Linked DNA regions of Elephas maximus indicus. The protein of the gene in region 2 interacts with the protein of the main gene of each other region in a pairwise test. Links are inferred from orthologs where the notes say so. Each region holds a gene or a part of one and is shown on either strand. Other genes may lie near its edges. The genes, in order: TMSB10, ALAS1, LONRF1 and ZMAT1.

What was found.
Region 1: the proteins of ALAS1 (region 2) and TMSB10 interact in binary tests that used the Homo sapiens proteins (3 or more experiments, as listed by UniProt). The two-hybrid records come from large-scale screens. The link is inferred for Elephas maximus indicus from reciprocal best matches to the Homo sapiens genes ALAS1 and TMSB10.
Region 3: the proteins of ALAS1 (region 2) and LONRF1 interact in binary tests that used the Homo sapiens proteins (3 or more experiments, as listed by UniProt). The two-hybrid records come from large-scale screens. The link is inferred for Elephas maximus indicus from reciprocal best matches to the Homo sapiens genes ALAS1 and LONRF1.
Region 4: the proteins of ALAS1 (region 2) and ZMAT1 interact in a two-hybrid assay, tested with the Homo sapiens proteins (2 studies listed by BioGRID). The two-hybrid records come from large-scale screens. The link is inferred for Elephas maximus indicus from reciprocal best matches to the Homo sapiens genes ALAS1 and ZMAT1.

Annotation. Positions count from the first base shown.
Region 1 is NC_064835.1:49,756,128-49,761,886, reverse strand, and holds TMSB10 (thymosin beta-10), read left to right. Parts: upstream 1-4,196; 5' UTR 4,197-4,295; intron 4,296-4,580; 5' UTR 4,581-4,595; coding exon 4,596-4,695; intron 4,696-4,970; coding exon 4,971-5,005; 3' UTR 5,006-5,238; downstream 5,239-5,759. UniProt on the Homo sapiens protein: Plays an important role in the organization of the cytoskeleton. Binds to and sequesters actin monomers (G actin) and therefore inhibits actin polymerization.
Region 2 is NC_064838.1:56,393,070-56,400,243, reverse strand, and holds the start of ALAS1 (5-aminolevulinate synthase, non-specific, mitochondrial), read right to left. Parts: upstream 3,008-7,174; 5' UTR 2,855-3,007; intron 1,848-2,854; exon of another isoform or gene 1,837-1,847; 5' UTR 1,816-1,836; coding exon 1,617-1,815; intron 1-1,616.
Region 3 is NC_064840.1:72,302,172-72,309,514, reverse strand, and holds the start of LONRF1 (LON peptidase N-terminal domain and RING finger protein 1), read left to right. Parts: upstream 1-4,343; 5' UTR 4,344-4,417; coding exon 4,418-5,063; intron 5,064-7,343.
Region 4 is NC_064846.1:56,256,374-56,263,766, forward strand, and holds the start of ZMAT1 (zinc finger matrin-type protein 1), read left to right. Parts: upstream 1-4,373; 5' UTR 4,374-4,424; coding exon 4,425-4,977; intron 4,978-5,008; exon of another isoform or gene 5,009-5,100; intron 5,101-7,393.

The DNA.
Region 1 (5,759 bases), on a different chromosome or scaffold from region 2:
CATTACCCTTGAGTCAATTCCAACTCATAGCAATCCTATAGGACAGAGCAGAACTGCCCCACAAAGTTTCCAAAGAGCCTGGTGGATTTGAACTGCTGGACTTTTGGTTAGCAGCCATAGTACTTAACCACTACACCACCAGGATTTCCAAAAGATTACAACTTTGGAAATTCTATGGGGCAGTTCTACTCTGTCCTGTAGGGTCACTCTGAGTCAGAGTCAACTTGACGGCAATGGATTTGGTTTGGGTTAATCTTTATGGAAGCAGACTGACATATCTTTCTCCCTCAGAGCTGCTGGTGGGTACAAGGCACCAACCTTTCGGTTAGCAATTAAGCACTTAACCAGTGCACCACCAACTCCTTTTCTGCCCCGTAAGAGTCCTATCTAATCTTTCAAGTTGCTGTTGTCAGTTTGATCCTATATAGATCTTAAAAGAGCGTAATAGTCGATGCAGACATTTTTTACTACTTAAGCTAAACTATTGTTTGGTTTTAAGAAGACTTCGGGATATTTTTGGTTTAAGGTTTAAAGATTACCTCAGAGCAATAGTTTCAGGGGTTCACCCACACTCCATGGCTCCAGAAAGTCTGGAGTTCATGAGAATTTGAAATTCCATTCTGCATTTTCCGCATTTTGGTTAAGATTTTTCTATAGAACCTTTGACCAATATGTTCAGTAGTGGTAGCTGGGCACCATCCAGTTCTCCTGGTCTCATGGCGAAGGAGGCAGTTGTTCATGGAGGCAATTAGCCACACATTCCATTTCCTCCTCCTATTTCTGGCTCTCCTTCTTCCTGTGTTGTTCCAGGTGATTAGAGACCGGTTGTTGTGCCTCAAATGGCCTCTTTCAAGCTTTTAAGACCCCAGGCACTATGCAAAGGACTAGGAGATAAAACAGAAGCACTAAACACACTATTAGGTCAATTAACTGGGATGTCCCAAGAAACCATGATCCTAAACCTCCAAATAAGGAACAAAATCCCATGAGGTGTTTGCTTGTACATAAGCAGCCTCAGCAGCTACTCATTTACGTGTGTGTGTGTCATCGCTGTAAATATGTCTATCATACAACTTTTGCCAATTCAACTTTTTGCAGGTGTACAATGTATTGACAGCATTTGCGTAATTGGCTGTGCAACCCTCCCCTTAATCAATGTGATTTGCCCATCACTGTGCACCAACAGGATACATCTTCTCAAACGGTGTGAGGGGTATAAAGAACATACAGATGTTTTAAAACCACTACTGACCCACAGGATTGCTGTGAGTCGGAGCTGACTCAACAGCACCTGACGACAACTACCCATGGGACTGGCTGATACTAATAAATCTGACCACTGTTAGGTAACAAATGCCAAAGAGGTTGCCTGCTTTCTGAGAGATGGGCCACAGAGCTGCACTGAGGAAAAACGGGAATGTCTGCCAGCCTGCTTAAAGCTCCTTTGTTTGAGAATCCTGCGTCCTTGCTATCTTTGAACTTGTGTCTCCATACCTATATATTTAGAAGAACCGATTTCTTTGTTTCCCAAATAAAGGGAAGTTGGAATTGGAGTTCACCATGGGTCTATGAAATTTCTGCCCCATGGAAAGTAATTTTAATATTCAGGGCAAGGTCTCAGCTAGAAGACCACTCACTGAGTGAATAATACTGAAACTCAGACACTTAGGAAAATTGAATATTTCCATGTTTAGGTTAAAGATGGGGAGCCAAGAAGGCGATGCCTAAGTAATGCTTGGCATTGCATCTGAAAAGGAATCGAGTGCCAGTGGAGCTCTCCAAAGAGACACTGTCTTGGTGTCCTGATATTTTTAAGCTCAATTTTTGGCAGATCCTTCAACAGTGTATGGTGGAGACTGCTCCAAGTACATCCAACCTTGCTTTCTTTTTTCCTGGGCACTCAACTAGACTGCATTTCCTACCCTCTGTTGCCATTAGATGAGGCCATGTGACTGAGTCCTGGCCAAAGAGATGAAGACAGAAGTGATGGAGATTACTTGCAAACCTGGACCATAAAACTGCCAGCACAGCCCTCCATCCCCTCCTTCTTTTCCCCATCCACTGACTAAATGGAGTGGACTTCCAGGACTTAGAGAGGGGCAGTCACAAGAAAGAAGGGACCCGGGTGCCTAAATCACTACATGTAGGAGACCTGCTGAACCAGGAACACCAGCTTAGTTGCATGAATGGTAAATGAATTTTAATTGTATTAAGCTGCTTTGGGGCTATTTGTCACAGTAGTTCGCCTTCCCTGACTATGAAGTTGGACTATTGTTCAGGGAATATTGTGTTTCTCCCCCTCCACCATGAGTGGAAGGTATCTCCTCACCCCATTGATGTTGGATTTGGACATATAACTTGCTTTGGCCAATGGAATATTAGAGGACATGAGGCTGGCCTGAAGTGCATTTATACATACTTCAACATGTCTACAATCTCTTGTGGCACAGCTCTCTTGCTGTTTTGCCATCACCCTGAGACGAACAAGCTCCAGCTAGTGCCCTGGTCTAAAGAGGATGAGAGATCCAGGGAACAGACCTGGATGCAATTCGAAGCTTGGAGCCAAGCTCAGCCTAGCCCAGCCCAGCACCAGCTGACATACGGATGCCTGAGCAAGAATAAATGATTATTTTAAGCCACTGAGTTTTGGAGTAGCTTCTTACATAGCATTTTTGTAGTAACAGTTGACTGATACACAAAGTGAGAGTGTGAGGCCACATTAAACGACCACTTAATGCCTGTTCTTTATCACATTTAAGCTTTATGTTGTTGCTGCTGTGTACCTGTGAGTTGATTCCAACTCATAGCAATCCTATATGACAGAGTAGAACTGCCCCATAAGGTTTCCTAAGCTGTAATCTTTACGGGAGCAAATCATCACATCTTTTCTCACTTGGAATAACTGGTGGGTTAGAACTTCTGACCTTTTGACTAACAGCCATGGGCTTATAAACCATTGTGCTACCAGGGCTCCTTATTTAAGCTTTATATCAACCCAGTTTTACAGATGAAGAAACTGAGGCATAGGAAAAGACTTGCCCAAGGTCACAGAAGGAGTTTCCTTTGCCAAACTTATAAGCCTAAGCTTCTCCCCCACTGTCCCAAATACACTAAGTGCATGTGAGAAAAGTAGATAAAATCAGGAAGGGACTGGACAGAATTCAGGATGTTCCCACCAAACCCCTCCTTAACAGAACTTAGTAATACTCCCTAAGGCTTGCAAAAGGAAAGTTCAGGTCAAACAAAACAATGACCAGCTTCACCCCGTGGGTTGTAAATGTATGGAATTTATTACCTAAAGGTGTTGCACGAGCTGAAAGAGTTGAATAACTGCACTCTGCCACTGCTCTACTGGGTTAATAGGAAAAACAAGAACGTTTCCGGGAATACAGATCTAAGCATCTTCAAGGTTAACTCAAGGAGGAAAACCGCACCCTCCGACCCAGTGCTCCTAGGAAGCCTGGGAAAGGCCTCAGCCCTCTCGGGACTCCCCACTCCCACCACCACCCTTCAGACAACACAGGCGACAAGCATTTAAGAAGCACCCGCCGCCATGGTTCCTGCAGGGCCCGCCCCGCTCAGGGAAGGGGGACAAGAGGGAAACTGGCCCCCGACCAGAGCAAAGGGCACTGGCAACCTATGGGTCCACCTCTCCCCGCCCTCCCTTTCAGCTCTAGAGCCCTCGGTTCGGACCGTTTTGGTGCGAGACCCAGCAAGGACTCAGCCTCCCGGAAGAAAGGAAAAGGGTGGGCGGGGGAGGGGTCTGGAGGGGCACAGACAAGAGACTTGGGGACCACACAGAGGTGGGGTGTCTTCTGCCAGCAAGGATGGCCGCAGAGCACGCGTGCACGCTCGCACATCCACACCCACAACCACACACACACACACACACACTCACACACTCCCCACCCACACCCCTCCCCCGCCGGCCTCCACGCCCATTCTGCGGGGCAAGCAGCAGATTCCCAGCGGGGCGGGGCGGGCCGGGGTCGGGGGGGAGAGAATGAAGCCCGGGGCCTTGGCGCCAGAGGCGCCCAACCTGGGGGTAGGGCGAGCTGAGGGCGCCGGAGAAGCAGCGCCTCAGCCCGCGGGCAGTCGGGGGAAAGGCGCGGCGGGGAGGTGAGCTGCCCAGCGGCCCCGCCCCTCCGGTGCCGGCCCCGCCCCCGCTGCGGCGGCCGAGGGGCGGGGCGGAGCGCGGAGTATTTAAGGCGAGGGGCGGGCGCCGCTCTTTTGTCTCTTGCTGCAGCGGCGCGAGTGGGAGCACCCGGAACCTCGGCTGGGAGCGGGACGCCTCGGTGAGCGCCGTGCTGGGGCGGGGGCCGACCGCGGTGGGGCCGGAGCCGGAGCCGGGCACCCGGCAGGCGCGCTGCCGCCGCCACAGGCGGCTTCCCGGACGGGACGCCCGGGCCGGCCGAGGGCTACCGAGGGGGTTGCGGGACGCGCCCAGACCCTCGGCCTTGGGGCTGCCGGGAACGCCCCGGCAGGAGTGCCACGTCGAGAGGCGTCGGCCAAGAGCGCCGAGGGGGACACGGGCCCCCAGCCTCGGCGCGCCACGCCGACCGCTTTGGTTTGCCCACTAGGATCGTTTTAAGAAAATGGCAGACAAGCCGGACATGGGAGAAATCGCCAGCTTCGATAAGGCCAAGCTGAAGAAAACGGAGACGCAGGAGAAGAACACCCTGCCGACCAAAGAGAGTGAGTGCGCCCCCGCCTCCAGGCCCTCGGGCCCCCAGCCCAGCCCCCCAACCCGCCCTTCCCGTGCCAACCCGGGTCCCCCCGCCCATGTCCCCGGCCTGGGCAGCCCCAGTCCCCCTTTATATTACACAAAGTGCCTTGTCTCCCCAGCCCCAAGCCTCTTTCTTAATCCCCAGGCCTCGTGGGTGCCTCGCCCACACCAGGTTTGTAGGCGCCGCCGTTGGGGATTTTCGAGGTGCCTTCCTCCCCCAATGCTCGCTTCCCGCTCTCCACAGCCATTGAGCAGGAGAAGCGGAGTGAAATTTCCTAAGAGCCTGGAGGATTCTCCAACCCCGTCATCTTTGAGACCCAAGTTGTGATGTGGAGGAAAAGCCACCTGCAAGATGGCACGAGCGACAAACTGCACTGTGAACCCGGGCACTCCGCTCCGATGCCACCGGCCTGTGGGTCTCTGAAGGGACTACCAAATTCTCCGGTTTGCCCTGGATATTATAGAAAATTATTTGTAATGATTAATGAAAATAAAACACACCTCGTGGCATGGCTGGCGTGGTCTGAGTCTCTTAGTTAAGCGTGCAGGGACAGTCCCTCTGTAGCAAAGCTCCGCGCTGGAGTCTGAGTTCCTGCTGCGGGGCGGGGCGGGGGTGGGGGAGGTCGAACAAATGGCTGGCTCTGAGAGACCATTTGTAATTTTGGCTTTGTCTCTTTCCCCAGAAGATTTCTTGGGTTATCAGCTGTTGCTTATAATGCAGTTTTGGTAAAAATCCAGGTAAAATTTAACCCCACTGGGTCATTCCTGGAAGCTGCTTTGGAAAATGATTTTCCAAAAGAGCAGGATCTGTTTTTGACAAGCTTTTATAGTCCCGCTGTTTCCCTCTGGCTTCCTCATAGCTGTGACGCATACCAGGAGAGGACGCATACCAGGAGAGGACGGGTGATTTCAAGACTGGGAAGAAACAGGAAAATGATCAAATCAGGGATGTGGAAAGTTGAGTGAAGTCACAAAGTCTCGAAGAGGCCTCCTTTTTGAGTTTAAAAGAGAAGACATTAGAACAAAAACTAAG
Region 2 (7,174 bases):
TTCTCACTTATAAATACTAAAAAGTTGTATTTTCTAGTTTTAGACGACCTAGAGTTCCTGAATTGGATTATTTCCAGTAAATTCTATTCTAAGTACATTCAGCGTATTTCATGACAGGACACACTTTTTAAGGTAACTAGAAGTGTTTATACAATGTTTGCTCTGCTAATATTTTCTAAAGAAGTTCTTGACAAAGAAGTTTGTTATCATTTACCATACAAACTACTGGTTTTCTTCCAAACAAAAGAAATTAAATTAAAACTGAGATTGTTAGACTGTTGTCTAGCGGAGTTCAAATATTAGTACACTAAGGAAAAAATAATACAAGTTAGTTTTTTAAGGAAAAAAGGGATAATTACATTCACCCACCTCATCTACTTTCTTATCTAAATGCATCAAAGAAGTACATTAACTTAACGCAATTGGCTGGTAATTAAGCTTCTAGTTACAATGACTACCCTCTCCCCTTCAGCGAATTAGTTCACCTTCCTTATCTCTTCATCAATTCTGGAATACTCCTGTGAATCACTGGCTAGCCCTTCTTACAAATTGGGTATGGTTTTCATTAAAATCTTCTATAAAGGAAAACCAAAAAAATTACTTTGAAGTTCACTACGCACACTAAGACAACTCCCTATCCCATTATAAAATACATATTCGTCAGAGAGTTCAGAAAATGAAACCAAAACACAGTCCCATCACTCAAAACAACCACTGCAAACATTTTAGCATATTAACTTTTTTCTATGTACATGTTTTAAAAACACTTTTTAATTTATACTCTATATACTTGTCTATTCTGCTTTTTTCATTATAACGATCTGCCTAAGCTAGTAAATAGAGTTTATGAACATCACTTGTGATGGCTGCATAGTAGTCCACCAAGTGGACAAGCCACATTTTACTCAACTATTCCTCTACTGTTAGGAGCAAAATGATAAAAGAGGATTTCGGTCTTTCAGTAAAAAGACATAACAACAGAGCTCCTGAACAATGGTAAAGAGGAAAACAACTCCTACAAACACGGTATCACCTTTCTACTTAGAGGAAAAAAAAAAATTCCTTTTTCACAAGTCCACACCCAGAGGACAAACCTGAGAGAAGTCCGTAAGGTATTTTCTAGGATTAAGTGGAATCTAAAAAGCTGCATTCTCTCCTGGTAGAGCCAGATCCAAACTAAACTCAACTGTGGTCTCTTTATTAAAAACAAAACAAAATGAAAAAGTATATATGAAATAGATACACGTGTTTAAAAAAAAAAAAAAGCCAAAGGCCAAGTATTTAATGAAGGTTGGAATAAAATATTACAATTTAATATTTACATGAATAAGGCACTGCTGATACACTAAAACTGCAACACACACTGACATGCAATCCAGAGACCTATTAGGTAGAAAGCTGGCCACTGTCCTATCTTGAAAGTTTGGAAAACTACAAGTGCCTCTCCTATGGGGTTAGGAGAACTAGCCATGAAGTGACGGGTGTAAGGAGCTGAACCTGGCACAGAGTAACCCCTCTGTTAGTGTGAACCTCAGTGCCACCGTGGACTGGAAGTGCTCCCGGTCTAGTAATGAGTGCAGACTACCCCCTCCCATTTTACTGCCAATGATACTTACTTTCATTGGCTGGAGGGGTTTCTTTGACCTGCTGGCAGTGAACTGCTGAAGTAGACAGGGCCCGGGGGGCTGGCTTGGCCCCAGCTTCCATCATCTTGGGGCAGTTTTGGGCATAAAACAACAGAGATTTGCCTGCCTTCTGCAGAAAGGTCTGGGACACTCGGGATAAAAATGGGCAGCGGCGAACAACAGTCTCCATGTCCGGGAGGTGCACTGGTTCCTGTAGAAAGACTGACGAGTGACATCAACACTTCTTAATAATCAGGCAACTACCACTGCGAAGGTCACCGGGGACTAGGTGTCACCCGCGGTTTATAGCAAGGGTACCCTGGGATACTAACAAGTCTTGCTCAAAACTAAGGACGGCACCAATGTGAGACTCAACCAAGGGCTGGTGACCACTCTCTATCCAGGTCACCAACTCCTCCTTCATTCTCCAGCTCTATACAAAAACACCTGCAAGGCAGCTTCACCAAATACTGACAATTAATAACATAGGGTGTGGGATGATGAGAATGAGCCAGGAACAGGTTTGGGAGGTCAGAAGCTCCTGGAGGGAGATGCACAGCAAAGACACTTTGGTGGACACACAGGGGGAGAAGAGAAGCTGGTAAGGACCACGGTCATCCATTCAAACAAGCAAAGCTGTCTCTGCTCCCTGACAGCTTGGACGTGGGGGAGGCTGGACCTTAGGAGCCTTTATCCTCTCCTGTTCCCCACACCTCGAAATCTTAGGGAGGCTTCCAGGCAGGCCCTAAGTCTGTGAGGGAAGGACTTCCATGAGCTCATTCCGCCACAGCCCGGTGAATGGGGCATAACTGAGAAAAGAGGGGACATAAACAAGGGCAGGAATCCGCGGAGAAGCGCCTTGGGGCTAACCGGGGAGGGCTTTTTTTTTTTTTTTCAGGGGTTGTAAAATCCAGGGCGTTGGATCTGGTGGAAGGGGGCGGTCTTCGGGGAATGGGGGTCAGAGGTTACCCGGGAGCTGACGGCTTGGGAATAACGGGAAGGGGATCAGAAGGGATTCTCAAGCGGCCAGTTAAAAGGCGAATGTCAGGAGGGCACCGAATGGGGGAAGCTGGGGCGACCAAAATGGCAAAAAGTCTCGGGATGAAAGTTGACCCCGAAGCGGCGAGTGGCTCGGACAGTGGGGGATGGCGTCCGGGAGCAGGGCCCGGGCTGGCAGGACACGCGCGGGCTTCCCCTCCTGGCCCCGCACCCAGAGCGCGGGTCCTCACCTGCGCGGGGGGCTCTACGGAGACGACGGCGACGGCTGGCACCCGAGCCGAGAAAGCGAGCCAAACCTTTACCCTTGTCCGCGAGAAACCTCAGGCCGCGAGCGCCGTCGCCCTGATATACAGTGAAAGGGACCGCTGCGCATGCGCCATGAACGCGGATTCCCTCTGCGCAGGCGCGCCGCGTCGCGCTCCCGGAGCCTGGAGGCCCGGGCGGGGAGACTTGCCTGCGAGAGCTCGATGGGCGCGGTTGGGGCGGGGGCTTTCCGGGCTCGCCCGCCGCCAGGCAGCGCCCAGGCGGTGGGCGGGCCAGGTCTCCTTCCTGGACCTCAGGCTCTACGCCCTAAACAAAAACCTGTTGCGGCCGAGTGGGTTCCGACTCACAGCGACGCTATACCGCCCCCCAACTAACTGCTCTGTCCCTCAGAATCCGACACCCCCATTGTGGGGCATAAACGGTCAGGGGTCGGAGAGGAAGTGGCACTATGGTCAACTGGGGTTATTGTTGTTGGTTGTTGTCCTTTCCATGGAACTGTGAAAATGGGTGCCTTGGGCAGGGTAGAAGGAGGCAATACAAGGGGTCGGGGTCAGGGTCTTAAGTAGAATCCGTCCTTGTGGGGATGTGACAGAGGACTTCCCAGAGAGGTGGGGCTGGGGCGCCGAAGGATGTCGTGGTCCTGGGGGCCAGGATGCCCAGGGGGCTGGTGAGGGTGGTGGGAGGGAGGGGGGCAGAAGGGTAGGGAGAACCAGCTTTGGCACTTTCTGGTCAGAGATGAAGAGACTCAACCTTGATGCATAGAGAAGACTGAACAGGGCCAGATGGAACCCATCCACTCCACAACTAACTGAGCACCTCTGGGCTAGGGAGAAGGGGGAAGACAAACAGGGCCTGACACATAGTTAGGGTTTAACACATGTTAACTATTATGTTTATTTTCCACTGGGTCTGTCCAAAGTCCCCTGCCCAGAGTTTAGAGTTGGATTGTGCCAGAAGTGAGCCTTCATCTGCAGAGGAGGCACCTGGGTCCAGAGTGGCAATGGGACCAGGTCAGGGACCCAGGGTGAGGGTTCTGGCCTGGGAGTCAAAGGCCCAACTCTGCCTCATTCTGCTGAAGGGCCTGGGCAGGGCCCAGCAGACAGAAAGAGGAAAATCAGCACCTAAACTCAAACCCAAGTGTAGCTAGAAGTAGGAATAGGCAAGGATGGTGCTGAGCGCTTTGCCCATCTCTGGGCCTCACTTTCCTCATCTGTGCAGTAGAATCTAATCCCCATTGTGCTGGTCTCACAGGGCTGTTTGGGTGATCAAAGGCAAAGTGGAAGCAGAAAGAACTGGACTTAGGAACTGGACATGGGTTCCATACCTGTCTCTGAATTACACTTGGTGGTAGCCTTAGTTTCCTCATTTATAAAGCTCTCCCACCCCTGTTATTTAATGGTTGGCCACAGGGTTAGGTGAAGTCATGGGTTTCAGAGTCTTATTTTTAAAGCAACAAGGCTCCAGCCCTTTGGGAGTTTCCTGTTTAATAGAGAGAATGGTTGGGAAACAAGGCATACTCACACGGAAAGTGAAATAGAATTTCTAAACAATTCCAGATGGAGGAGGCGGGTATTACTCCAGCAGGCTCTGAAGGAAGGGAGATCACCAGGAAGGCTTCCAGAGGAGAGGCAGGTGCTGGCTGGAAGGGTGGGTCTACTTGAGACTGGGAGGCTGGTAGGTGAAGTCTCTAGTGGGGAAGGCCCAGGCCTGTCAGAGTGAGTGGGGGGCAGTGTGAGTCAGCCCAAATAGCTGGGCTGTGGGGAGGAAGGCAGCTGGAACATGGGGCTGGAAAGTTGGATTAGAAAGGTTACAAACAAGCTGTGGGGCTTCCCGGCATCAGAGCTTAAGACCCACCACCGGGATGCTATTTAAAACACAGATACTGGTCTTGCCCCTTTGATTCTGTCCCATGAATCTGCATTTTAACCAAGCCGCCCTCCTGGTGATGCAGGGGTGGGGTGTCTTCGGGCCACATTTTGGGAAATACTGCCTGAGTGGTTTCCAGTTTGAGACCTAAAAGGACAAGGGCTAAAGCCATGAGTTCTAATCCTGGTTCTGCCACTTTCTGACCCTGGGATCTGGGCAAATTGCTCTGTACCCTAAGCCTCAGCTTTTATACCTGTGAAGTAGAAGCTACTCCACCTGCCTGAGTGATGATCCCTCTCCTGAGTTCAGCCTTCTTCCTCCTTTCTCCCTAATCACTTCCTTTTCTTTCCCTTCCCTTTTTTCCCCTCCCTTTCTCACTTCCCTCTCTCCTTCCTCCCTTTCTCTCTCCCTCATTCCCTGTCCCCAGCCTCAGAGCAGCCTACAAACCTATCTTATCGCCCTGGCCCTGGGCAGAGGAGCCCAAGCGGTTGAAATTTGGGCAAGGTCAGGCCCCCAGTCTGCGTCATCACCAGCAAGGGCTGCTGCACACAGCATCAGCCCAGCAGTCACGGCAGAAGAAAAATGTCAACGCCAGCCCCAGTATTCACCCATTCACCTTGGGCAAGCTTACTGTTATCGTCTGGGTCTCAGTTTCCCCATCTGTTAGCCAGACAAGAAATCCGGCCAGCCTTCCCATCAAGGAGACCCAGGGTAGGAATGAGAAAGCCTTGAAGAGAGACAAAACCTGCAACCCGTGCAGCTCATGCTCGGCATGACCTTGGTTGGGCTCGCTGTTCTCCTCAGGTGTCAGTGCCTGTGTACATAGCACTGGGTTGGTGCCAGGAGACAAGTGCTTAGCCCTGCAGAGTGGCTAGAGGTTCTAGAAACACCTCAGCTCAGCTGTGCCCTGGAGGGTTGGAGTCATAAGCTTCAGGGTTTGAGGTGGCAGGCCAAGGGGTCGTTAGGTTATATGGAGTGTAGAGGTTGGGCAGGGCTGGAGGGTTCTGAGGCCCCCCACATCTGCCTTGTCCTGGCCCGGCCTTTGGAACCCCCTCAGGCTCTAGCTGGCCTGGGACAGCCTGAGAGGGCAGGGCAGGCCTGGGCCTGGGTTTGTGAAGCTAGCTCCTAGAGCAAGGGCTAGGCTCTGGTTGGTTGCGGGAGAAAGGGGCTGGAGTGGAGGAAAACATCAAGGAGGCAGGTCTAGGGTACAGAGAACAGATGCCCCCCAGAAAGCAGGAAATGCCCAGAGAACAAACACTGTCCTCCCTCCCCAGGAACCCCAGGAGGACCCCTAACACCCACAACATGAGGCCCAGACATGTTCTGTTTGGCCCACAGAGTACTTTTTAAAAATGCAAATTAGTTGTCAACATTTAACAATGTTGACAGAGCAGGACATGCTTTCTCCAGTTCTCCACAGGCCCCCTCTTTAGTAGGTCCAAACTCTGAGGGCAAGTGACCGCCAAGCCATGACACCTGCCTGGCCCTGTAGGCATCTGAGTGTATGTCTCCTGCCCTAACCCATTTTAGAGCCAGGGAGACTGAGACCCAGAAAGGAAGAAAACTTGCTCAAGGTCGCATAGCAAGTGAGGTGTGGGCTGCTGTGGGGCACAGTTATCCTGCTTTCTAATCCCCACATTGGGCTCTTCTGCCCTCAGAGCCCCTGGAGGGGGCAGTCCTTGGGAGGGACTGGGAGTTGGGTAGGGAAAGGGTCAGGCTGGCTGTGAGGGGCTCTCTAGGAGGAACTGGCCCAGAGGTGGGGTCCCAAATGCTTGTCCCGTCCCCTCCAGACCTTGCATGCTATCAGGTCAGAGCAGGGCCTCTTGAGGTAAGAGGGTCAAGGCAGGAGACAGGAGCTGGCTGAGCCCATTCTCTGGCTGGGTGCCGGAGGCACAGTGAGAAGGAGCCTTGCCCCTGGCCTCTCAGGCTGCTGGGGAGACAGACATCAGGACAGGAGCCATTACAGACTGTGACCAGTGTTGGAAAGGGCGCCGGGAAAGAGAATGGCGGAAGGGGACCACCTTGGGGCTGGGACATGGTACAAGAAGCTGTTGTCCGGGACAAACCAGGCAAGGCTGAGGAGCCCAGTGTCGGGGAGGAGACAGAGGGGGCCAGGGAGGCTGGAGCAGAGAAAGCAAGGGGAGAAGGGACAAGGAGGGGTGGGGCAGAAGGCCAAAAACCCAGCCAACTGCTACCATAAATCCCAACATTTTCAATGTGATTAACAACCTTTGCCTGGAGACTTCGTTTCTCTCTGGCTCTGAAGGGATTTGAAGACCTACCCAGCAACCCTTCTGCCTAAATATGGAGGGAGTGATGGAGGCTCAGAGGAGGAGGAGTGCTGGGTAGGCAGGGGCAAGGAGGAGTAAGTCAGGGAGGATGGTAATACAACCGACAGGTAATGACAACAATAGTGGCTC
Region 3 (7,343 bases), on a different chromosome or scaffold from region 2:
GATTTTTTCATCCACTGATTTTTCAGAAGTATATCACCAGTCTTTTTTCTCCAGAATATAGCATATGCATTTAGTATACCTAGATTCTTCAGAGTGTTAAAGAAGAATTCAGAATAGTATCCTTGGTAAGGGTATTGTCCCTTGAGCATTTTCACAGTATCCCTTGTGGGATAACAGTGTAGTTTAACAGTGAGCTGTACTTGGTGAGACAGAAGTCATTGTAAGAAATTAAGTTTAGGCTTCTACTTACCATCACCTCTATTTAACCTATTCAGGTTATCCTCATTCGGGCTCTTTGCTGAGAACACCATTATAGCAATCATATACTGTGTATTTTTAGCATCTTATATAAACTTTCTCACAAATGCCCAGATTATATAACCAGCCACTCCTCCCCCCAGAGGCTTACCTTCAGCCTCTCACAGATCTACAGTAGGGACAAGGAGGGGGGTGTGTGTGTGTGTGTACGTGCACGTGTGAGTGATCCCTATCCAACCACTGAAAAAATTTACGTTCCAGAGTTTGATTTCCCCTCTGCTGAGCAGGGCTGAGAGCTCGCTAAAAACAAGTGTGCTCCTTGGTTCCCTCGTCTATTCTCAGCCTTCATCTTCTGCTGTTACATTTTCATCAGGTGTCACATTGCTGTGTTCCTGAGTCTGGGAGGCTCTGCCTCTTCTCACTGGATTCCGACAAATTCCTGGGGCTCAGCTCCAGAGGTGCAAGGGACCTTAGAGATCCTTCCAGTTCCCTCAGATGGCAAATGAAGCCCAGCGAAGCCAGGTGAGCTCCTCCCAGGTACAGAGGCATCAATACGGTCAGCACCACGTCCGGATGCCCTCTTCGGTATGCCTTCTAGTAAACCAGCAGCTTCTCGGATCTTAGCTGTCTCCTGTATAAAATGAGGGCTGTGAAGAGGTGGTCTCAATGCCCCTCCCATCTGTATATATAAAAACACTATTGGTATGTACTGATGAAACTTTAGAGTTCACTGTTTTCAATATATCGTGTAGAATGTTATCCACTGAAATGAACCAGAGGAAGTGGAGGTAATTTTGCTTGGCTCTTTTTCTTCATAGCTTAAACTCAGTCTCCCCTTTTTAAAGATAAGATGTGAAGAAACAAATGATAAATTCACCCATGTAAAAAAAAAGAGGTTCCAATGCACATGTTCGGCTAACTTATGTACAAGGAAAGCCCTGTTACATTACTGCTAAATAGAGTTTACTTTAACTACATCAGAACGGTCTTCTTGTGGCGTGGTGGTGGGGGGTGGGGGACAGGGATAAGCAGGAAGGATGGTGATAAGCATTTTCCAAATTAGGAAACAGTTACGTGTTTCTTGGTACTCTCTTACATAACTGATCTCATTTTAGAAGACAACACTAAAAAAACTGAGATGAAATACAAATCTCCTGATTTCACTGCTTTGTGAGCAAAGAATATCAGGAGAGAATAATGCTGGAAGGAAAAAGAGGCAGAGCTTCGCCCCGTCACTCTCCTCCTGGCCAAGCGCTGCTTCACAGAATTTCCTCCTCTCCCCAGTGAGTCAGAAACCAAAGTCTAAATTTTAGAAAATGAATGAAGAAAGACACCAACTTCTCTCTCTTTTGAATTTAAACAGAAACCACATTCAACTGCATATCTCTTTTGGGTGACACAGAATAACTGGAGAATGACCCGTTCTATCGCCGAGACATCGCCGAGACTGCCTTGCCCCACACTGACTTGCGGCTTCAGAGGGAAGGTGTGCGAGGCACACAGACCACAGCAGCAGCACAGCCTCTTACATAAATAAGTTACATAAATGCGAAGGAGTTATGTAAATGTATAAACCAGAAAACATCAATTGTAACCATTCACAAATGCCAAGGAGAACATGGCTAGATTCCTCCTACAGCCCCCCCCCCTTTTTCTCACATTCTCATAATTGTGCCATTTTATTTCACAACAGAATTAGATTTGGAGATTTGTCATACTTATGAGGGAAAGAAACTCCAAAGGACAAATGCTACTTCACAGTCTTTTCTGAATCACACATTTGACTTTGGGGGGAAATTCCCTAATACAACCGGAGTAATCTGTATTTGGTAATTTATGCATATGTATCAATGTCTTATACTCCTTGTGTGACCATAAAAACATCTATTTATTAAATATTTACCACTGTACATTGTTGCAAGTTGCTCTTGATGACAAGAATGCACCCTAAAAGTTAATGTTCACAAGCATAGGGATATTTTTTCTGGGACTTACGGTTTCAAGTCTCAAATGAGTGTGTGGGCATCTGACTAACGTCATTGTTTTGCTAATTGAGAGAAGGTAGCAATGTAAAGAGTTGGGATTAGATTTGAGGTTATGATCATGAATTAATCACACTAACCCCTTCCCCCAAATAATTAGGAGTTGCCATTTTTTTTTTTATAAACCCTGGTGGATACCCCGGTGGCATAGTGGTTAAGTGCTACGGCTGCTAAACAAAAGTTTAGCAGTTCGAATCCACCAGGCGTTCCTTGGAAACTCTATGGGGCAGTTCTACTCTGAATCGACTCAATGGCAGTGGGTTTGGTTTTAGTGGGTTATAAACCCTGGTGGCTTAGTGGTTAAGAACTACAGCTGCTAACCAAAAGGTCGGTAGTTCGAATACACCAGGTACTCCTTGGAAACTTTATGAATGTAGTTCTGCTCTCTGCCCTATACGGTCACTGTGAGTCAGAATTGACTGGACAGCTATGAGTTTTATTTTTTATAGGGTTGCTATGAGTTGGAATCAACTCGATGGCAATGGGTTTTTTTTGGGGGGGGGGCTTAGCCATAATTTGCTTTGGGTGCCACGTGAATGATAACTGAACTTGCTTTCCTCTGCACTGGGTTGAAGCAGGAGCCTCAACTTTTTCTCAGTCAACTCTTCTTCCTCATACCTTCTGGGGAAACAGAGCTACACCTTCTCTGAAATTACATGATTTGCTCAGTGTGTAGTAAAAACAAACGGGATTGAAAACGTGGTTTTGAGTCCTAACTGCTGTTGTGTGTAGAGGGGTATTAATTAAATATTAGCCAATTTCAGACAAAGCATGCTCAGGTTAACATTCCAGTAAGCAACTCCCTTTACTTTGGAAATCTCGTGTAAATTATTTCTAGAATCTAACGTAGGAACATAATAGTGGAATGAGAATTAGATGACCTTAAAACCTCTGTAGAATATTAGCCGTGTGATTTGGGGCAAATAACTTCCCCTCTCTGGGCCACCATTTTCCATTTGAAAAAGGACTAAAAGTTCTCCAGTCACTTCCGGCATTGACAATCTAGTATATAATCAAATCTATAAACGTTTTCAACTGAGAGCTTTAAACTTGCCACTGTCAAGTTTAATTAAAGTCAATATAACCCATTATATATAAATCAGGTCATTTTCTTCTGTTGTCAAAATGCAGACCCTGCTTGGGTCATAGTGATATAGTAACCCTGCCATATGAAAAGCATTTTTTCCTCATTTCTTTTTAAAACCACCCCCTATAGACCTTTTTTTTTTTTTATAGACCTTAGCCGGCACTGGGGGCAGTGACTGAGGTGTGGCGAATACAGCTGGCATACCAGAAACCTGTGGGCTTCCCCCCTCGAGCTAGGGGCTGGGTTTTAAACAGGAAAAGCAGTAACTTGGCATCAGGGCTAACTGCCTTGCTCTCTGGAGGGCAGTCGCCTTAGGAACGTGGCTGGTTTTGTTCGTTTGTTTCTAAAGTTTTGAGTCACCAAGTCATGCGGCTGACTTGACGCATCCCTAAGCCCTCTGCCTGTACATACCATCTGTAACTTGGGGCGTAAAGCAGAGCTGCACCTGACGACGGCCCCACCACGCGTGCAGGCTCCCACCAGCCAGGAATTGGGGGCGGATCCTCGGGTCCCCACCCAGGTGGGCGGGCGTGTCAGGGGAAGGTCGGTCCTTCAAGCCTCAGACCCGCGAGGCTGGCTGCCCGGCCGGAGGGCCGGCCGAGCAGGGGCTGGAGGAGAGACGAGGGCAGAGGGCCTAGCAGGTGGGGAAGTCCGGCGGTTAGGGAAGGGGAGGGAGGTCCTTTGTTCGCCAACAACTAGCCGGGCCCTTCTTTCCTCAGAAGCCAATTGGATCGGCGCTGGGGGATCATCTGACCTCGGTCCTCGCCAGCAGGGGCTCGCGAGGGGCGGGGGCCGCGCGGTCGGTTGTCGCCGGCCGAGGGGGAGCCGAGCCCGGCCCCGCCCCGCCCCGCCCCGCCCGGCCCGGCCCGGCCCGGCCCGGCCCGCCTCCGGGGCTTCCCGGGCGCGCGCTGCCCGCCGTGTCCGCGCGCCACGCCCCCCTGCTCGCGGGCCGCGTGCGGAGCCGCGCGCCCCGGAGGCTCCGGGAGCGGGGCGGCGGCGGCGGCGGCGGAGCAGCAGCCGTCCGCGGGCCATGTCGTCTCCGGCGGTGGCGAGGAGCGGCCCGGGGGGGAGCCGCGAGGTGGCCCCCCGGCGCTGGGCAGTGGGCGGCGGCAGCGGCGAGCGGCTGGAGCGCGGGGAGCTGCTGCTGCGCCGCGGCGAGCTGCTGGCGCTGGGCGGCCACCTGAAGGGAGCGCTGGAGGCGTACTCTGCGGCGCTGCGCCGCGGGGCCCCCGGCAGGCCCGAGCGCCTCGGCACCTTGGTGGACTGCCTGGTGCTCAACTACCGGCTCCGGCACGGGCTGCGCTGGAGCGCGGCCCCGGCTGCGGGCGCCCAGGCCGGCGCCGCCGGGCTCCTGAGCTGCCTGGGCTGCCGGGGCTTCCTGAGCGAGCCGGTGACCGTGCCCTGTGGCCACAGCTACTGCCGCCGCTGCCTGCGGAGAGAGCTCCGCGCCCACTGCCGCCTCTGCCGGGCCCGCCTGCCGGCCGCCGGTGCCCAGGGGCCGCCGCCCCCGGCCGCCGCCTCGGGCTTCAGGACCAGCGTCGTCCTCAACCACCTGGCCGAGAAGTGGTTCCCGGGCCTGCGGGAGAGGGCCCGGGCGGCCGGCCGGCTCGGGGAGCTGCTGCAGCAGGGGCGCTACCGGGAGGCCCTGGCCGCCGCCTGCGAGGCGCTGCGAGCAGGTGACCGCGGGGAGCGGCGCGGCCCGGCCCGCCCTCCCTCCTCTCCCGTCTCCGGCCCCTCGGGTCCCGGGGTCCGCGCGGGTGTGGGAGGGGCGGCGCCCCGGAGTGCTTCGGTCACAATGGGGATCGCCCTCGGAGCCGACTGTGACGCGGCGCGGGGAGGGGCGCACGGGCGCGGAGTTCCCTCGCCGGCTCCCTCGGCCAGCGGCCACCGCCGGGCGTCCGGAGCGGAGCGGGGGCCCGGGGCCGAGGCGGCCGAGCGCGCGGTGGGCAGGGAGGTGGGCCAGCCCGAGCGGCCGCCCGCTTCCTGCCGCGCTTTCCGGGAATTGGCCGCCGCCGCGCGGGCCCTGGGGAGCCCGCCGCGGGGAACGACAGCCGGGGCGGGAGAGGCCCCCACCCGCGGCCAGGCGTGCAACGTTTACCTTCTTCTCCCACAAAAGTCACCCGGGCAATGGGAGCCGCGGGAGGGCGGAATTGCATAAGCTTGGGGGGGGGGGGAGTTGTGTAACGGGTGACGTCCGGTGGGCGTGGCGGGAGCTCCTCTGGCTCCGGCACCCCAAGGCTCCCCTGCCGGGCCCCGGCTTCGGGCGATGCAGGCGCTGGCCGGGGCGGCCACCCCTTGCCTGAAAACGCCTTCAAAATTGGTCGCTCTTCTTGAAGGTTTCCACCTTCCTGTTTCAATTCATCTATTTCATATACGCATATGTTTGTTTTCGAATGCACCTAGCTCGTCGTTGTAAAGACAGAGGCAGCCTTTGATGGAGTACTTTGCCATGCTTTTGTGTGCCTTTCCACTCTTGATCAAACTGTGGGGAGAGCTTTGTAGCTCTGTTGTCTGTTTCTTCATCCCCTGGAAGCTGCTTCTGTCTTCTAACTTAGGCTAACACTTTGCTTAAGGTACCCTTAGTCTGCTGGAAGGAAGCAATGGCCAACGCCCCTCCGTAAAATGAGGTGTTCTTCTAAGTCGATGTTTCTCAGTTGGAGGCAGCTGGAGGGGGGGTTCTTCAGGACAGTTGGCCACCAGGATAGACTTTTGGTTGTCATAACTTGGGCTGGCACTGGTGGTACTAACATCTAGTTGATTAAAGTCAGTATGCTGCTAAGCATCACAGGACAACCACCCACCACAAAGAATTATCACGCCCCACATGTCAGTAGTGGCGCTGTTGATAAGCCTTGTGTTATATAAGCGTATTTCAAGAGTTTAGTGTCTATATATTGGAGTAAGGAGCCCTGGTGGTGCAGGTGCTTAAGTGCTGGACTGCTGACCCGAAAGGTGGGAGGTGAGCGATTGGAACCCACCAGCCACTGTTGGGGAGAAGATGTGGCAGTCTGCTTCCATAAAGATTATAGCCTTGGAAACCCTATTGTCCTATAGGGTCCTGATAAGTCAGGGTCACTGTGAGTCAGAGCTGACTCAACGGCAATGGGTTTGGTTTTGTTTGGATTTGTATATTGGAAAGGAATAATACTTAGGTGCGTATTTCCAAGAAAATAAGAAGACATTTAAAATACAATGTTAGGAATTAGGTAAATTTATGAACGATGTACCTGAAAGTCTATTCTGGTTCGTCTTTTCCCTAAGTGCTTAGTCATTTTGAACTAGTGACAATAACTTGAATAATTTAACACTTTCAGGGTTCAAAGCGCAAAGTCAACATATTTCCATTTTCGTTCAGTATCGTTTTGAAGAGTAGGCACTTAGAAAATAGAACGATAGACTCAGAACAGATGACATCTATCTGGAGTACAGAATTCGTGTATGCAGGGCTCTGCCTCTTGGAGGGGCTAGAGGGAGAGTGGGGAGTGATAGACTCAGAACAAATGACATCTATCTGGAGTACAGAATTCGTGTGCGCAGGGCTCTGCCTCTCGGTGGGGCTAGAGGGAGAGTGGGGAAGCTGGTCTCAGCTGTGCAGCCCATGTAGTATCTCGCCATGGGCCTCATTTTAAAAAGGAAGAAGCAGGAGCCTGGCAGTGAAATGGCTGGTCCACACCCACGCAGCTAGCAGGTCTCCTAACTGTTCTGCTCAGTGTTGGTCCTCTTCTCCTAAATGTTGGTCCAGGATCCATAGCTGCCTTTGTAGCTCATCCAATAAAAATGTTTAATATAAATTTCCAAAAAAGTTTTTTTTTTTGGTCACCAGTATAATTTTTTGAGCATAAATTAAGAGGATGCAACTTACCAACAGCACTATTCAGTATTAACTACTACTGAACTAATGATTATAACCTTCTCTTAAGTTAATAAGTGTACATTCTTGCATCCCTTGAATTCTT
Region 4 (7,393 bases), on a different chromosome or scaffold from region 2:
ACCACTATTATACAAACTGGAGAAATAGTTTAAACCGAGAAGAAAACATTCTTTTGTGGTTACGAGAGGGGGAGGGAGGGACGGTGGGAGAGGGGCAATCACTAATTAGATAGTAGATAGGAACTACTTTAGGTGAAGGAAAAGAGCACACAATACAGGAGAGATCAGCACAACTGGACTAAACCCAAAGCAAAGAAGCGTCCTGAATAAACTGAATGCTTTGAAGGCCAGCGTAGCAGGGGCAGGGGTCTGGGGACTATGGTTTCAGGGGACATCTAAGTCAATTGGCATAATAAAATCTATTAAGAAAACATTCTGCATCCCACTTTGAAGAGTGGCGTCTGGGGTCTTAAACGCTAGCAAGCAGCCATCTAAGATGCATCAATGGGTCTCAACCCACCTGGATCAAAGGAGAATGAAGAACACCAAGGACACAAGGTGATTATGAGCCCAACAGACAGAAAGGGCCATGTGAACCAGAGACCTACATCATCCTGAGACCAGAAGAACTAGATGGTGCCCAGCTACAACCGATGACTGCCCTGACAGGGAACACAACAGAGAACCCCTGAGGGAGCAGGAGATCAGTGGGATGCAGACCCCAAGTTCTCGTAAAAAGAGCAGACTTAATGGTCTGACTGAGACTAGAAGGACCCTGGCGGTCATGGTCCACAAACCTTCTGTTGGCCCAAGACAGGAACCATTCCCGAGGCCAACTCTTCAGACATGGATTGGACTGGAGGGTGGGTTGGAGAGGGATGCTGGTGAGGAGCTTCTTGGATCAGGTGGACACTTAAGACTATATTGGCATCTCCTGCCTGGAGGGGAGATGAGAGGGTGGAGGGGGTTAGAAGCTGGCGAAATGGACACAAAAAGAGAGTGGAGGGAGAGAGTGGGCTGTCTCATTAGGGGGAGAGTAACTGGGAGTGTGTAGCAAGGTGTATATGGGTTTTTGTGTGAGACTGACTTGATTTGTAAACTTTCACTTAAAGCACAATAAAAATTATTTTTAAAAATGAACATCACTGTTTAGCTAGTCAGATTAATTTCTATGTCAATCATATTAGTTATTTGCCACTAAATTAGGTTCTAATTATTTCTTTCATTTGCACATGCCTTTAAATATATTGTTTGGTGATAATGACTTCCCCATATTATTCTGAATAAACCATTATGTTTCACTGTAAAAATAATAAAATTACCACTGATATGGTTTTGTTTTTTGCTGATTTCTCAGATGTGCAAAGATATGCTCCTTTATTTCTTTTTAGCATCTCTTACCTCCACTTTAGACCCAGTTGCCTCCCAGTTTTCTTTCTATGGTTTGGGGCATTGGTAGCTAAAATTCATTTCAACCAGTACAGCCCCCTCCCTGTGGTGCCATGATGTAAACAGACCCTTTCACTCACTAGATTAGTAACTATGGAAAAGTTTGTTATACCCATAAGACTGTGTTTTGCGTTCTTTAAATGATCCAAATATAACATCACTATTGTGAGAAGATTGGGAAATTATGAGAAATGTCTGGCCCAAGCAGGCTTTCATCAACTATTACTCCCTGCCACATTCCACCCTCTCCTGTGAAAGAAATTGCTCTGGCGTTCACTTAATAGTGTTACTGTCATAGAGAGCAAGATAGGAAAATGTGTGCTCATTGCCATCATGTATGACAGACTTAGTGGCGTTTTCCTGTTGTGGCATGTCATCAAATGGAGTTGAGGAATGGGGAGAAATCTAACTGACCACTTCCTTTATCTCACCCACTACCCTTTCTACTCTTTTTAGTTGAATAGCAGATAAGAAGTTTTCCACAGAGCCTAGGAAAGAAGCAATTCCATAATTCAACAAATGTTTCTTGATTGCTCTAGTCCAAAGAGATGCGCAACTGCTATTGCCACACAGAGGTCAAGGAACTGCAGAAAACCCCTGCTATTCTCACAGATCCTCCAAAGCCTTTGGATGCAAGAGCTGCAGAAGAATACTAAGGCCACCACAAAAATTTATGTTTTACAGCTGCCAAAGTCCACATAAGAAATGGCTTCTACCTCCATTATACTTAAAAAAAATCATATGAATGCATATTGTTGGTGGTATACATATGATTTAGGTATACAAATGCATATCTAAACCACATTCAGAATTTTGCTGGCCAAGAAGTCTGGGAAATTGACAAATGTAATTCATGGCTTCCAACCTCTGCAACACGGGGAGAACATAGAAGGGGATGGAAAGGCTTCAAAGTGCCAGCTGATAATATCTGGAAAAGTTCCCTGAGCTTTTCTCCTCTAACTCTTCCAGTTTTTTAGTCCCTAATTATCAATATTAAATATTTTCTGTTCAAAATACAGAGCAATTTCTGTTGTGCTGACTGTATCCTGAGTGATACACACTCCCCCAGAGATTTTGATTGAATAGTTGTTATGCAAATGAAATATGATTCATATTTTGAGAAACAATGCTGTTGAGGGATACTCCCCCCTCATATCACAAGGAATAATATTACACCTCCTTTTGACATTTACTTTGTCCTAGTAGCTATTTCATTGGAATATACCTTGTGCCTGGCCCATCCAGTAATTTCTTTGATGAGTAAAAGTTACACTAATTTATAGGACAAAACGGAGGGCTAGAGAAACCACCCACCAAGTCAAGTAACTTTAGGTAAACTAGTGAACCACAAGAACAATATGTTCTTAAGAACCCAGTATTCCAAGTCTCTGAATTTCTTATTCAGCTCTAGCCAATCGTTGCCAGCCAAGAATGCAAGCCCCAAACAGCCAAATTTTGAAATGTTTTTAAGAATTTTTTTTTTTGCATAAAACCCTCCTTTCAAATGTTGGCACGTAAGTAAATAAACAATCATGTAGGTAAAACACAACATATATGTGGGCTGGATGTGGTCTAGCGATCACTAGATTGGGACCTCTGTCCTAGGGCTTTATTGTGCTGGAGTAAGAGGAATCAAAAATAAGAAATACTGTCCTTTGTCTCAAAATTACCCCAAGCTATTAAAAGAGAGGCACAAAGTACAATTCATTACAAGATAAATATGCTCAATATACAGGTATAGCACAGGAGAGGGTGGGATTAACACTAAACATGGACAGAAAAGATTACCTGGAGGAAATGATGTCTCATCTGGGTTTCAAAGTGTGTTAATTACACTGATGCCTAGTGCAGGGAAAAGGGAATTTTAGGCAGAGGGAACGACATATACCATTACATGGAGTCATGAAACAGCATGTATTTACAGGAATCTGCAAAAAGGTTTAATATTACTAAATTAAAATGAAAGCAGAGTGGAGAGGTAGCAACAGTGGAAGCAGATGAGATCAGGATGGTTGGGGAAAGAGAAACGTGCAAAACTGTGCCCTTTGACTTTATCCAGTAAGTGATGAATGGCAGCAATGTGGGAGTAGATTCGAATGACTGAGACCAGAGAAAGGCAGACAGTTGCCATATTTCTGACAAGAAATGATGAAGACCTGGAATAAGACAGTGGAAGTGAGACTGGAAAGGAGAGAATGCCCAAGAGAAATTTTGCACAAGTGAACCAGGAGACATGTCCATCAAGAGGGAAATGGATGGGATATTGTATAGCATTTACAATGTATGAAGTATAGCTACATGTGACAACATGGATGAATCTTAGAAACAAAATGCTTAGTAAAATAACGAGTCTCAGAGTGCTACCTAGAAAGGATATGAATTTTTGTGAAATTTGAAAACGATCAAAAGTAAACAACATTCTTTAGGCATATCCATATGAGATAAGAATATATGTAAAAACAGCAAGGGAATAATAAACACGAATCAGGATATTGGATTCTTTGAGAAGCTTGAGGGACAAGATGGCGAGATTTAAATTATCAGTAATATTCTAGTTCTTTGGTTGGATACGGGATTCACAGACGTTTACTGTATTATACTTGAACATGGGTAGACTGCAGTTGTTTATGGATCATTGATGACGATGTGTTATTCGCCATGCCTTCTGTTTATTTCTATTCTACTTACTAACGGCTAAAAGACAGGGAGAGCCATATTTCAAGGATATTTTGAAGATGGAAGCGACAGGTTCCCAGACTTCTTTTTTTTCTTCTTAAACTGGTTTTAGATTACCTCCTCCAAGGAAAGACGCCTCATTGTGTGAGGTCCCACGTGCTTTCGCATCCCGCGTTTTTTGGCCTTTGTCCTTGGCCACCAACCCTTCTCCTCCAGAGGGAGGTGGAATGACGCCAAGGGGGGGGGAGGGAGGAGTCGGGCTGTGGGGCTAAAGCTTTCCTATTGGTGGGCAGAAGGAGCGAGAACAAGGCTGGAGCTGAAGCGAGGAAAAGAGGGGCCGAGGAGGCGGGGCTCAGGGGAGGGGCAAAAGGAGCTTAAGGGGAGCGAGGCGCAAGTGCAATTGTCTGCGCTTTGCTGCGATGGCGGCGCCGAGCACAGTCATCCCGCCGGCGGCGGAGTCTGCCCCTCAGGAAGCTACCATCTCTGCCGCCTCCTCCTCCTCCTACACCGCCTGCGCGGCGGCGGCCGCGGCGGCGGCGGCGGCGGCGGCGGCGGCGGCGGCTGCAGCGATAGTGCCTGCCTCCTCCGCCACCCCCACCCTTGCGTGGCCGCCCGCGGGTGGCCGTGGAGACGGCGGCGGCTTTGGAGGTTCCACTATGGCGGCGGCGGGGTGGGGGGGCAGTAGTTTTAAAGTAGACCCCCGCCCTTGCCTCAGAGAAGGTGAGTTCCCGCCCCGGGGTGCGGGAGCAGCCCCATCTCCGCGGCTGCCTCCCTTCAGCCCTTCGCAGTTGGAGCTGGGCGCGGTTCGCCACCGCCCCACCCCCCACCTGCTGTGGCGCAGCACAGGCCAAGCTCGCCCCGCCCCGCCCCGCCGTATAAACCCCGAAAGTGCAAGATGGACTGAAGCAAACGAGGGCTTCCCTACCTGTCCCTCCCGCAAAGGATGGGGGCCCCCAGGAAAAGAAACTGCAGGTACTCACGAGGCAGGAGTTTGAAGGGACAAACAAAACAAAACAAAACAATTTCTCTCCCAGCCAGGACGCCTTCGTCAGCTATAAGACGCCGAGATGTGATTTGGAAAAGAGCGCAGGCAAGGTAGAAGTGCTGTGGAACTAGAGGGTCGGGAAAAGGGAAGGGGACTGAGGGAGAAACTCAAAGGTTGAGGGGACAGGTAAAAGAGAAAAGGCCAAAGAAATTCAACATTCTGCGGTGTCGAAACTTGGAGCAGGATATTTAAGGAGAAATGTGGTTAGGCATTTGGAAAGGTTAGTGTCCACTTGAGCTTTAAAGTAGCATCTGTTGTATTTTAGGATCGTAGGGTCTGATGGAGGGGGTTCTGCTGGAGAACCAGGAGAGGAAGAGAGTGCGGTAGAAGTTAAGAATTCAGGAATCACTTTGGAGAGTTTTCCTTGGTTGGTAACTTTGTAAAGCAAGGTTTACAGGTCCATCTTTAAGGTGGTTTGGATTTTAATAAGTGCCGTTGTACCTACCAACACATACTGTTCAGAAGATAAGCTGTTTCTTGGCTATCAATATAAGTGATACTTAGTTCACACAAAGTACTATATACTTGTAAACAGCCTACTACTAGGAAACTGTAAGATATGCCATTGGAATGTGTTTTAAAACAGTTTTCGAAATGCTTCTTAGATGGTGAAGACTGATTCCAGTGCAGAGGATCTCAGTAAAGCATTTTGCCGTAGTTAATTTCTTAATTTCCAGTATTTGCCGTGTTAACTTTATGTTGCTCCTTGCCGCCAAAGTGAAAGATCGTGCGCGCCAAAATAGGGTTCAATGATTTATTTTTTTCTTAGACTCCCCACTAAAATAACCCCGTAAAAATAATTCTCTCTTCACATTCTTAAAAGATCCATCCCGGGTGCTATCCTATAGCCTTTCACACCTTTCGCTTTGGAAGAATGGCAAAGCAGTTAAAAAAGAAAAAAAAAAACCCTTCTAATATTTGTAACAGGCACATTACATAAATGCCACTTAGTAAAAATGGAAGCTAGAAATACACTGTCATGTGATGTTTTATTTGCTGATGCTCTTACTGAAGGCAACCTTTGAAAAACTCGTCAATATCTTCAGTCAGCCTGGGTTTGTACCACTGGTTCTCGGATGAAAACATGAAATCTCCTGATTTCTTGCTTTTACACCAAAGTTCCTGTCTGTTACCTGCACGTAGGCCAGAGCAGTTTTGTAAGTGTTGAGATCATAATCCAATTTGACTCTCATAGCCTGTTCACAGTAAGGTTTAGGACCAGTATCTCAAGGGGAGGGGGACATCTTTTTGCCTGGCTCTGCAACTGGTTTGTTTGCAGTGCTTTTGAATATACATATTAAAAGTTTAAGAGATACCACTTAAAAAAGTAACAGAAATACCCTAACTCTCCTTATTTTACCACCAAACTATTCTGTGCTAGGTGGTAAAATAAGGAGAATCCTGGTGCAGTGAACATAGGTTCTGTTGCTAGCTTATCCGCTAGATAAACTGGATCCCTGATCAAGTCCCAGGTTTCTTGGATTTGGGTTTTGACATGTCTGAAATAGGGAAATTGGACTAGCCAAACTCCCAAGATTGATTTCAGATCTGAAAGTCGAAACCATGATTTTGCAGTTCTGCATTGGGATTCTTTCTCTGGCATTTCCATTGCTGTGCACTAGAACAGGAATTCGTAAACCGTAAGAAACTGTAACCAGTAGTAATCACCGGACATTCCGTGAGTGATGAAATCTGTGTCGAGTTAGTGTTGAGACAGTTCAGGTGAAAAACAAAATATAATTGTTACCTAAAAAATTATCTCATCATTCTGTTTTTCAGTAAATATCCTTCACTAACAGTTCAGCCCAAATTAAACTCTCTTACCTACTCATTTAACAAATGGTAAATATTTGCTATATTGCACTGTCAGAAACACTATTAGACCTCAAAATAGTTTTGTTTAGATATTTATAAAGGCCATAAATAGTTGCCGGTTACAATAGTGGATAAGAAGGAAGAGAAAAAACATTACTTGTTAATTTTAAAAATAAAATTTATTTTCATTGTTGAGAACATACGCAGCAGAACATAGGCCAGTTTAACGGTTTTGGAATGTACAGTTCAGTGGTGTTGATTACATTCTTCGAGTTCTGCAACCATTCTCACCCTCCTCTTCAGAGTTGTTCCTCTACAATTAATACAAGCTCACTGCCTGCTAAGTTTCCTATCTAATCTTTCTAGTTGCTGTTATCAGTTTGATCCCATGTAGATAGATCTTAAAAGTGCACAATGCTCAAGGCAGATATTCTTTACTAGTTAAGCTGAATTGTTTTTAAGAAGAAGTCAGGGAATATTTTTAGTTTAAATTTGTTTTTTTTTTAAGTCTTATTTAGGAGATGGCTC